2 linked regions of the Nothobranchius furzeri genome follow. The protein of the gene in region 1 purifies or fractionates together with the protein of each later gene. This does not show direct contact. Links are inferred from orthologs where the notes say so. Each region holds a gene or a part of one and is shown in the gene's direction. Other genes may lie near its edges.

The links.
Region 2: the proteins of rasa1a (region 1) and plcg1 purify together in Homo sapiens (affinity purification with western blotting; 3 studies listed by BioGRID and IntAct, with this or other methods). This does not show direct contact. The link is inferred for Nothobranchius furzeri from reciprocal best matches to the Homo sapiens genes RASA1 and PLCG1.

The regions. Positions count from the first base shown.
Region 1 is NC_091757.1:43,328,983-43,334,492, reverse strand, and holds part of rasa1a (ras GTPase-activating protein 1), read left to right. Parts: intron 1-664; coding exon 665-745; intron 746-1,289; coding exon 1,290-1,447; intron 1,448-1,526; coding exon 1,527-1,603; intron 1,604-1,697; coding exon 1,698-1,870; intron 1,871-1,960; coding exon 1,961-2,120; intron 2,121-2,205; coding exon 2,206-2,348; intron 2,349-2,444; coding exon 2,445-2,560; intron 2,561-3,687; coding exon 3,688-3,774; intron 3,775-3,863; coding exon 3,864-3,931; intron 3,932-4,018; coding exon 4,019-4,107; intron 4,108-4,183; coding exon 4,184-4,261; intron 4,262-4,404; coding exon 4,405-4,539; intron 4,540-4,616; coding exon 4,617-4,696; coding exon of another isoform or gene 4,697-4,700; exon of another isoform or gene 4,701-5,307; intron 5,308-5,510. UniProt on the Homo sapiens protein: Inhibitory regulator of the Ras-cyclic AMP pathway. Stimulates the GTPase of normal but not oncogenic Ras p21; this stimulation may be further increased in the presence of NCK1.
Region 2 is NC_091755.1:60,774,644-60,780,648, forward strand, and holds the start of plcg1 (1-phosphatidylinositol 4,5-bisphosphate phosphodiesterase gamma-1), read left to right. Parts: upstream 1-1,859; 5' UTR 1,860-2,093; intron 2,094-2,171; exon of another isoform or gene 2,172-2,267; intron 2,268-3,058; 5' UTR 3,059-3,129; coding exon 3,130-3,343; intron 3,344-6,005. UniProt on the Homo sapiens protein: Mediates the production of the second messenger molecules diacylglycerol (DAG) and inositol 1,4,5-trisphosphate (IP3). Plays an important role in the regulation of intracellular signaling cascades.

The DNA.
Region 1 (5,510 bases):
CCTAGTGATTTTTAATGTGTTCTGATTCTTTTTTTTTTACCTGATTCTTTTTTTTTTTTTTTTTTTTTTACAAAAAATGCAACACAAAAATTCTCAAAACATGAATAAAGATGAAGATATTTAAACTAAAATTTATATGAAAACACAAAATTCAAAACAGTTGGAACTGAACTTTTAAAATCTAAAAACAAAAACATCGCTTTCTGCTTTCTTGATTACTTATTGTTTTTTCCTGTTTTTCACTCACTCATACAACTTAAGTGTTACTTCAGTAGTGAATAACTGCCTGCAAAACCAACAGTAAAAAAAGGTTAGAGGTTTATTCTATACAAGCTTTTCTTCCTCCACCAGATCTATGCTTGCAATAGCCGCAATGCATTCGTCCAAAGTAGTCGCAGATCTGCAACATTGAAGCGCAGTCGCGATGGTTCATTGTTATTAAAATCTCTACCACTGGCAAAATTTAAATAATTTGTACCACTTACTGTTAATATCGCCAATAACTACATGATGCATGTCACAAGATTCATTAATATTTGGCTTAATGTTCCTTGTTTATTTGTTGGGTTTCAGTTAACTAATTGCTGGTATGAGTTGCAGTTTTGCTAGTTCCCAAAGACTGCTAACTGTGCTGTAACTTTCAGACTGTGTTCTGTTTTTGCAGGATTGGTTGAAATGTCTTCAAAATTTCTGCAGTAACCTAAGAAAAACCACAGCACCCACTTCCAACAAGAGGCTTAGACAGGTAAGTGTGAATATTAAAACATAGTGAAGCAGCTAAAAAACAAAAACTAAGTTAAAAGGTATTGGGAACATTTTGACTAGTGATGGACTTTTGGGGACAGTGTCGTTTTAAATTTCCAGTGTTACAACAGGTCTTGTTCTTCTATTGAAATCTGACATTCAGGACCATTTCCACAGATTGACTCAAACAAACAGCCCAGTCCTAATTTAGTTCCTTGGTTTGGGTGGCATTGAGGATTAATTTGGCTCCTCTGCACTATCCAGGCCTCCCATTGATGATCCCTGCTATAGTAGTGTCATCTGCAAATGTGATGATCTAGTAAGGGCATCGAGGACATCATAAATCTAGAGGGTAAAAAGTAGGAAGCCAAGCTCGTAGATAACTGACACTCTTTAAGTTTCAGAGCTTTCTTTGTCAGCTAAGTCAAAAATGCATGTATCCTGAGGCAGATAGAGATTGATCCAGATTTGTCAGGTGTCGGGAGCAAAACAGCGAAGTTGTAATTATGGCGAATAACATTCATTTTGTGTGCGTTTCCTCTCAGGTGAGCAGTCTGGTGCTGTATGTGGAGGAGGCCCACAAGCTGCCTATGAAGTATTTCACCAACCCCTACTGTAACATCTTCCTGAACAGCATCCAGGTTGCTAAAACACACCCGAGAGAAGGGCAGAATCCTGTCTTCACTGAAGAGTTCATCTTTGAGTGAGTCGGTGCTCGTTCGTCTCCTTTCGTTTCACGATTGTGTTAGCAAAATTCCAACATGCCTTTTTTGTGTTTTCAGTGACCTGTCCAGTGAAATTAACCGATTTGAAATCAGTCTGAGCAACAAATCAAAAAAGAGCAAAGAAAATGATATTTGTAAGTGATCATAAATTAGAGAAAGTAATAACCTTCAACTCTACAGTCCCATTTTGATCTTTTCCTTGTTGTCCTCCTCTTTGTCTCCTCTCAGTGTTTATGCGGTGCCAGCTAAACAGTTTGAATAAGGGTCAGATGAATGATGAGTGGTACTCTTTGAGCTCCCACGTTCCTCTGAAGGGCATCGAGCCCGGCACCTTGCGTATACGCTCCCGATACTCCATGGAGAAGATCATGCCTGAAGAAGAGTACAGTGAATTCAAGGAGGTCAGGCCTGCTGAGAAGTGGTTCTGATTGCAACTTTTTGGCTGCAAGCATGGCTGTTGAATCAAAACGGTCTCTTTATGTCCTCTACAGATGATTTTGCAGAAAGATTTCCATGTAATCTATGCTTTGGCCCACGTGTGTGGTCAGGACAGGACGTTACTGGCGAGCCTCCTCCTGCGCATCTTTAGACATGAGAAGGCTGAAGCATCCTTATTAATGAGACTCAACGACAGAGAAATCAGCATGGAGGGTGAGACGCAGACGGCGTGATTTGATGTGAGGTCATTTTAAAACAGCTTAACTTGAGTTTGACTTGGTAACGCGCATCCTCCCAGATGAAGCCACAACACTGTTCAGAGCTACCACGCTGGCCAGCACGCTCATGGAGCAGTACATGAAGGCCACCGCCACTCCCTTTGTCCATCACGCACTCAAAGACACCATCCTGAAGATTATGGAAAGCAAACAGTCGTGCGAGGTAAATGAATAAACCTGCATGTAGCCTTCATTCAGCACATAGAAATAATTATCTGTCCAAATGTCCTCTTTCATGTGTCCCTCCCTTCCTTTGCAGTTGAACCCTTCCAAACTGGAGAAGAACGAGGACGTGAACATGAACTTGACCCATCTTCTAAACATTTTGTCTGAGCTAGTGGAGAAGATCTTCATGGCTGCTGAAATCTTACCATCGTAAGCTCCTAACACCTAAAGAGCAAGTCACCCTCAAATCAACTTTTATTTTTTCTGATAAACTATATAAATCCGTATCTGATTGTGCTGCAGACTCGTGTAGTCAATAGTTTTGCACTTTAGTGCATTTTAGTACACATTTCAATTTTCTGCCTAAAACTGTCAGTGTTTTGTCGTTGTCCGGTAAAAACTCTGCACTGCATTTGATATAAAATCTGCCATCGCTATTGGCTAAGGCCTAGTCCACACGTAGCCGGGGTTTTTTAAAAACGAATATCCGCCCCTCCAAAAACTTGCATCCACACCACCGCGTTTTAAAAACAAACTCTGTCCACACGTACCCGGATAAATACGTTGTTAAGGACATGCCAGACCTGTAGGCGGCAGTACTTCCCCCGTTCTTAACCTCGTCCTTCGTCTGTGGTCTTCCGCAAGGAGCAGTAATTCCGCTTGTAAAAACAAACAAGCAGAAAGCGCTTGGACAATTGATGGATCGGGTAGTGACAGAGCGCAGGTTTGAGGGCTTCCATGATGTCGGCTAGTGTAAACACAGGTTGCACACGTGATGTCAGCATTTTTTTGTCGCGGAAAGTGACGTTGCGGACCTTAACACTCCGGTTTTGTCTGTCCACACGCAGACACCCAAAACGGAGAAAACGCAGATCTTCACTTTGGCCGGAGTTTTTAAAAAGATCCGTTTTCGTGTGAAAAAACTCCGTTTTCGTGTGGATGACAGGCCAAAACGTAGAAAAATATCTGCGTTTTGGCAGATCCCCGGCTACGTGTGGACAGGGCCTAAGAGGTACCTTAGAATGTTAGCTGGTACCATATGATGTCACAATGTCATTGTGAGCATGTGTGTGTGTTTGTTAGTGGCTCCGCCCCTTTGGTCTGCTAGGCAACAGCATTTGTTGCATTTTTCAAACAGGAAATGGGAGTGGAGTAATACCCTGGTAGGGGGTGACTTGCTCTTTAAAAAATGGTTTTACTGCTTCATCATTAGACCCAAAGAGTTCGGCTGATTTTGTGTGTGTGTGTGTGTGTGTGTGTGTGTGTGTGTGTGTGTGTGTGTGTGTGTGTGTGTGTGTGTGTGTGTGTGTGTGTGTGTGTGTGTGTGTGTCACACAGGACATTGAGGTATATCTACGGGTGCCTGCAGATGTCTGTCAAAAGGAAGTGGCCCAATAACACCACCATGAGGACGAGAGTTGTAAGGTAAACCAGCGTCTCTAAACAATCTGAATACTTTGATGGGTAAAGGCTGTTTTTGCTGACTAACTTCCACCTCATCTGTATTTTTCTAGTGGTTTTGTCTTTTTAAGACTGATCTGCCCTGCCATCCTCAACCCCCGAATGTTCAACATCATAGCTGGTAAGTGTGTGCTAAAAAAACATCCCGAATATGTTTTTACTGCAATATGGAAATCAGTTTTTATGGACTCTTGCTCCTCCCCTCCAGACCCTCCATCTTCAACAGCAGGTAGGACCCTCACACTGGTGGCCAAGTCTGTCCAGAACCTGGCCAACCTGGTTGAGTTTGGTGCTAAGGTATGAGCTCATCCCATTTAAACTTTCACAAAATGCAAAAGTATTTAGCTAATTACTGATTTATTTTTATTGACAGGAGCCCTACATGGAGGGTGTGAACCCTTTCATAAAAAATAACAAACATCGGATGATCATGTTCTTGGATGAGTTAGGGGTGAGTTTCATTTCTTACTTTTTGGATCAAACCTTTAAGCTGAATATCTGATTTGTTTAAAACTTTAATGGTTGGTATAGTATCTTTGAGAGACTGAGGCCCTCTCTTCACAAGCAGACAATAAAAAACTGTCACGTTTGTAGAATGTCCCAGAGCTGCCGGACACCATAGAGAGCTTTAGGGCCGACCTGCCGCGGGACCTGGCCGCGCTGCACGAGATCTGTGTCGCACACTCAGCTGAACTTCGCATCCTGAGCAATGAGAGGGGCGCACAGCAGGTCAGAGACTGACGATCACAGCTCCAAGAGTTCAAAGCTTGCTCTAGAAGTCATCGTACTCTTGTTTTTTTCTTCAGCATGTGTTGAAAAAGCTGCTGGCCATCACCGAGCTCCTCCAGCAGAAGCAGGCTCAGTATGCCATGTCCAACAGCAACAGGTAGTACTGCTCTCCTCTCGTCTCCCCATCCAGTTCACCTCCCCCCTGGAGTGCAGCCCTGCGGAGGCCTAGCATGCTCTTCCTTCATCACCATGGCAACCCATCCACCACTCTCCATCATGTCTTCCTTTGATAGTACCTCCCACCCACCCTCTCCTATCATCTTGTCTGGTTCACCACAAGACAGCTATGCAACAGCAGCAACTGAGAACAAGCAACTTAAAACAAAACTGACAGCTGCACAGGAAAAACGTTTCCTCACGGACTCTGTTTGTACTCTGATGTGTGTACATTTGATTTTCTTCGTCAAGAGGGCCAAATATTTGATTTTCTAACGGTTTCTTTGGCAATCTGCTACCAAAACCCAGCAGGCACAAAGTGACTCGAGTAGTTCTCATCTCAGCGCCCCTCTTTCCTTTAAGTGATAACTGGATCCTGAGCAGTGATGCTTTTATACTGTAACTCCTGACTGAATTTTAAAGTTACAGTATCTGCAAAGTGCTGACAAAAATAATTTGTCCTTTTCTGTCTTTGTTTTCTAGATTTGAAACAAAGTCTTTGCAAAAAATCTGGTTATTTTATATGAATAAATTCTCTTGCTGGAATCATGAGTTTAAAAGTGAGAAACTTGATTTTTTTTCTTCCTGGTTATAATTGTTTTCAGCTATAATAAAGATTTTCCTTTGCTAACTCGTGGCCAGACAGGACAAATAATCAAAGAAACCAAGTAAAATAAAATGTTTACAGCAGTAAATTTTTAGTACAGACTGTATAACAGGCATGCATGCACTTATTAAACTGTTTTTGTTAAGTA
Region 2 (6,005 bases), on another chromosome or scaffold:
AAGCCATCAGATCTATTGGAAGAACCTAATATTGTCATAGAATAATAAATTATTGTGTGTGGAAGACTGCTAGGAACATCATGAAAGGTGAGGATGGGGTGACTTTCAGCTGCAATGGTTTGACTGGGATAGTAAGAGCGAGGCAATGTGGAGGCACACCGAATGTTGTCTCTTATCCATGCAGTCTTGAGTTTTTATTTCAGGGATTTTGTCACCTTTCAGTGATTGTTTTTTTTTTATGCGTGCCGTATGCATCCTCAACAAAAAGCTCTTCACGTGCAGCTCCTGAGCACGTGTGTGTTTCCACAGTTTTACAGCAAACAGGGCGTAACGTTGATCTTGGTTACATGAAATAACTGAAGCAGGCCAGCTGAAAGCCTTGCTTGGGCCCGGGACGATATAATATTAGATGGGCCCCCATACCAGGATTCCTCCTTTTCCCCCGCTCTTTTAACCCCCCCCCCCCCCCCCCCCCCCCCCCCAATTCCTCCTACAGACCCCCCATCGGCATGCCTAAGCTGAAGCATATGTTTTGTGTCCTGAAGCTAAAGGAGACTCTTCTCTCTGATGGAGGGGTGTGGAGATTGCCAAAAAAATCACATCATCTACCCTTGTTGTGTGCTGTTTTTTTAAATTGTTATGATAAAGCAGAACTTGTCTTAGAACATTTTCTTAACATAAATGGATATTCTAACTTTTGTCATCAATATTTCTTGTTATTAAATCATTTTAGACACAATCTTGGCATTGTTTCAAAGCTGTTGTTCTTTTGAGCTTTGTAGTTTTCAGAATAAAACATCAACTTTGTCCTGTTTGTCTTTTGTTTGTCGTTTTATTTGCTTACATGTGGTCAGATATATGGTCAGAGATAAAAACAGAAAAAATAACATTCTTCGATGAGATAATCAGCAGCTATTCAACCAACAGGGTCAAAGTCCAGCAATCACCAATACTAATTCCACTTTCACCTATTTAATCTCTGTTTTGGTGGGTTTTCAATGAAAAACTAATAAATACATTAAAAATGAAAGTGAAGAGAAAATAATTATAAAGTTAACGGACTGATATTGTGATTAAGGTTGAGAATAAAAATCTAATCCTGAATAGTCGAGATGGTACTCCTTAGAATAATCAAGTTCACGTTGTTACTGCAAGGAATTCCCGGAAGTTTCTTAATTGACTTCAGTACAAAAGCATGACTTCGTGTGTCACTAAAGATTTATATATGAGTTTGTCTAATGCCTACAGATGTAGATTACAAGTTTATATGTCAAATAAATAAAGTGTGTAAATTATGAAATTATAAGTGGCTCCACATTTAAATATTATGGCTGCTTATAAAAGGTTTAAAGCTAAATTACACGAAGTGAAAATGTGAAAACCGCCGCAAGTTTGTGTAAATACTATAAAGACTAAAAAGAAAATATGTAAAATCTGACTGAAAAAAGAAAAAAAGACAGTACTGTTTTGTCTTGTTTTTGCGAAATAAGGATGGCATTGAATGGGATGTTTTGCTATACGGTGATTTGACCCATGTCACTTGATAATTTTATTCTTATAACTCACTGTAGACGTAACAGAAAATGCGTATCAAAAATTGCTTCGAATTTAGAAAAAATATATAAAATCCATGTTTTGTTAAAATATTTAGCAAGAGCAACGTGGCAAAACTGTGAGTAGAACAAGTTTTATTATTTTTCCCCCTTTACGTTTATCCTTTGCAACGTGGTCTGCAAATTCATTTCTGCACAATGCTTACTGTGAATGCGTGCTTTATTGTGAAAGGCCGCAACGGAAGTGTGGTTTGCTGCGAAGGTGGGGGGAGTAATAGAGCTGGTCAGAGAGAGCAAACTTGCGTAGTCTTGCCACGGTTCGCTTTCTGCCTGCCTGTTTCTCTCTATGGACGACTGGAGGGGAGTAAAGGAAACTGCTGGAACTGTTGTCGTTGGGAGAGCAGCGCCGTTCGAGGCCCTGGCGATGATTTAATAACGGGAAACCGGGCTCGTGGAGCAAAGAAGCAGGGAAAAGACGACGGGAGACGAGGAGAGCAGGCTTTGGAGATGTGCTGTAGCGGTCGGGCCGAGATTGTTGCGGTAGGCACTTCCAGCACAGCTCTTTTTGCTTGTTGTTTTTTGTTGTTTTTCTTGTAAATTGTTCTCCGCACATTAAAGAGAAGAAATGAGAGAAGGGAGACGATTAAAGCCGCTACCTGTCCTTTTTCTTGGGAGAAGCCAGCCATATTCTTCCTGGGCCCAGCCAAATGGACGGTGGGTAGCCCTCACCGGACCCTTTTTCCACGCTGGGAAAATAGTTAATAGACACTTCATGTTACGCTGCGATCCAATTTTTCTTGTTTTTCTCACCTGTCGTATTTCCAAAATGATGCATTTGAGTCAAAACTTTTGTTTTCCCGCAGCAGTTCACAGGCCTGTTGGTTTTTTCTACACGCTTAAATCAGAATAAGCATACCTGCTTCCACCGGCCTAAAAGCTAAATGTGTTCAGACACATGTGAAATAAATAATCCATCATTATTTAAGGAGTTTAGATCGGATCTCTGATTTATTTACACCAATGGTTGACGGGTAACTCTTTATGATCTGTAATCGTGCTGTACTCTGTATTTAATAAAAAATCTGTACTTAAAAATCTAAATTCAATGGATTAAAATATTTTTGATGCATGCGCGTTATATATGTTTTAGCCTGTGTGATTAAACATCAAGATGTCAATCGTACAAAGCATATTATTGTTTCTTAATGCTCTAAATAAGTCAAAAATGGTCGCCTAAGAAAACAATTTATTCAGATACAATTCTATAAACAAATCAATGCAACATTTAGTAAGTTTGCATGAGAATATTGTAAGATGCGCCCTTAAATGTAGGTGAGAGCTGTTCAGAGAGATGAACGTATCTGTCTGCACATCTGCTGACATAAATGTACAAGTGTGTGCAACAGTTTTCTTATATTATTATTGTCTTTTCCTGACCCTTTTGCAGCTGTGTAGAGTGCACACATAACTGGGGCATTTTCATGGATTCTCCTCCTCATTTGTAGGTAACCCTGTCTAGGCCCGGACTGAGCAGATTGTTCTAAGAGGAAACGTAAAACAAACAGGGGAAGTGAACATGGCTGGAAACTCAGGCTTCTTTTCCAATGGACCTATTCCGTGGACGGACCACGCGGAGGAGAACAGTCTGTGCCGGGATCTGGAGCTGGGCACTGTGCTGACTCTGTTTTATTCTAAAAAATCACAGCGCCCAGAAAGGAGGACTTTTCAAGTGAAATTGGAGACTAGGACTGTTATCTGGACTCGGGGAACGGATAAAATTGATGGAGAGAGTGAGTAGCTTCTGAACGAACACACACACACACACACACCACACACACACACACACACACACACACACACACACGGTCAGCGATCACCCTGTAAATTAAATTTAAAGGTTTGTGGCAGATGAATACAGAAAGTTGCGATGCTTTTTCCTTTTGTTTTTATAGCACAACCTAACCTGCATTCAGGACAGCTCAACACACAATTAAATAAGTTTTAACTTTTTTATCGTTGTATTTTGTGCAGAATGTCGTACTGGCATTACTTGGTGGAAGCGCCGCCGATGTATGTCAGCCAATGTTGCCTCAAAGCTTTTACGTGTTGTTTAACCATTTATGCAGGCTTATTCTCATTCTTAAGAAACTCCTAACACCTTATCTGAAACTAATCACATTAGAAGAATAGTTTCAGCTTTGTTTGGATTTGTGCTTTAGCCGACACCTCTGCTGGACAAGTGACTTTCCCAACTAACTTTAACAGACTTCTCATTCCCTCGCTCTTGAAGCTGTCTTTGAGCATTTCCTGTGGCCAACAACATAGAAAATGAAGTTCAGATCCAATGTGGTCCTTTTTATGTCCACATACTCTGTAAGAGGGAATTTACCTCCAGCTTCGCCCAGCGCTCTGTGGCAGGTGCTGTACATTCTTGTGTCCCACTCAAGTTTTTGTCTGTTTTGTTTTGTGGTCTCTGTCATGCTTTAACTGACACAGTGGCTCTCAAACCTTTCAGCTTCAGACCCACAAAGTAGCAATCATCGAGACATGCAACCCTAGAAATCTCTGGTTTGGCAAAACAAACATGCTGAAAAAGCTAAATAATTCTGAGCTTCAGCTCATGTTCACCTATATCCTTTTGTGACAATTTATGTGAGTTTATGTAAAAGTTATGCTAGAAATACAACTTCAGCTTTTTTCCCCCTAGAGAACACATTTTCTCTAAGTTTTTATTTTATTTTATTTTTTTGCCTACAATTGTCCGTACTTGTAAGAATATATTACTACTTATGACTACTTGTAGTCGGAGACGGAGAACCAGCAAGCTAGCGATTGTAGTGTTAAGGATTGGCTGCATCTGTGTTAAATGATCAATAAGATGTGATAATTCCATATAAATATGAAATATCAAGTTTATATAAACAATTATGTCTATATGTTACTGCATCATCTTCTATCTTGTTTTATAATATGTCAACATTTAAAAAAAAATTGAGATGTTGTCCAGTCCTGGAATAAATTCTTAAACAAAACTTTTGTTTAGCAGCACATAAATATGCTGCTTGACCCATAAAAAGGTCACACACTCATATATTTCGTTGGACTGCCTTTAGCTTTGACATTTAATGTTGCGTTGTTTCAATAAGCTTCTGCAGCGTCTCAAGATTTATTTCCACCCAGTATTGCATTATTGTTTCACCAAGACCCTGCACTGATGATGGTAGCGTCTGACCGCTGCACAAAGCCTTCTTCAGTACATCCAAAAATTCTCAATGGGATTAAGGTCAGGACTCTGTGGTGACAAAACGATGCGTGAAAATGATGTTTCATGCTCCTTGAACCACTCTTTCACCATCTGAGCCTGATGAATCCTGGTATTGTCATCTTGGAATATGCCCGTGCCATCAGGGAAGATGGAATAACCTGGTCATTCAGTATGTTCAGGTAGTCAGCTGACCTCATTCTTGGAGCACATACTAGGGATGCACGTTTTCCAAAATTTCTTTAACCAGTTATTGACGCCCCTTAACAGTTAATAGCCGGTTAACTGGAAACCAATCACACCCCCTCACAAACATTTGCACACAAACATTTGCCCCCCCCCCCCCCCCCACTCCCCCACTATAAATATTAGCATTTTCCGTCTGCTTTTTTTTAAATATAATTCTGACCCACAACAACAATGCACTGTTGTGCACGATGTCGAGTGTGTCACAGGCGCTCTCCGAGCTCCTCCTCAGCGCGCTGCTTGTGCGCGCACTGTCAGCAGCGAGAAGAGGAGGAGGTGAGAAAAGGCTCAGATGCGCTGATGGAGATCTTTTCTTGATTGTTACCTCTGCGATGTTCTCTGTGTGTAACGTGTAAAATATTTGTCAATAGCAAACAAACTCATGGCCTAATAAATAAATAAACAAATCGCCTCCAGTAAAAAAAAAACCTACCGTAACGGCTCAGCCCATCGCCGATGGCCGATTCATTCGTCCCATCGCCTTAGTGTCATGCAACCTTTATGTAGCAGTCAATGTGTGCAGCTCATCTGTATGCGGCAGCAGAGCAGACCGAGGCAGATCAGAACGAGAGACGTATATGAGGCACGTGCGATAAACAGTTTTAGACGTAGCACTCGTGTAACATCTTTTAAAGTTGTTTTTTTGCCCTGAACTTTTGAACAAAGGTAAGTTGCTGGTTAGTTTGTAAAGAAGATGCTTTTCACTGATGCACAATGTGCTAATCTAGATGCTGTGGAAGAAAAGAAAGAAACCAGCAAAAACACAAAGGCAGAAACCGTCCAAACTTTGGGATCTAAAGTAACTGGGCAGATTAGCAAATGCTAGCAGGTAGCAGGCTCACGATCAAGTCAAGTGAGGTTCCCAGAAAACAATGGTTGTGGAACTAAGAATATCTTAACTCAAGCTGAAGAAAAGTCCCCATCATCCTGTTTATTCTTAGCTG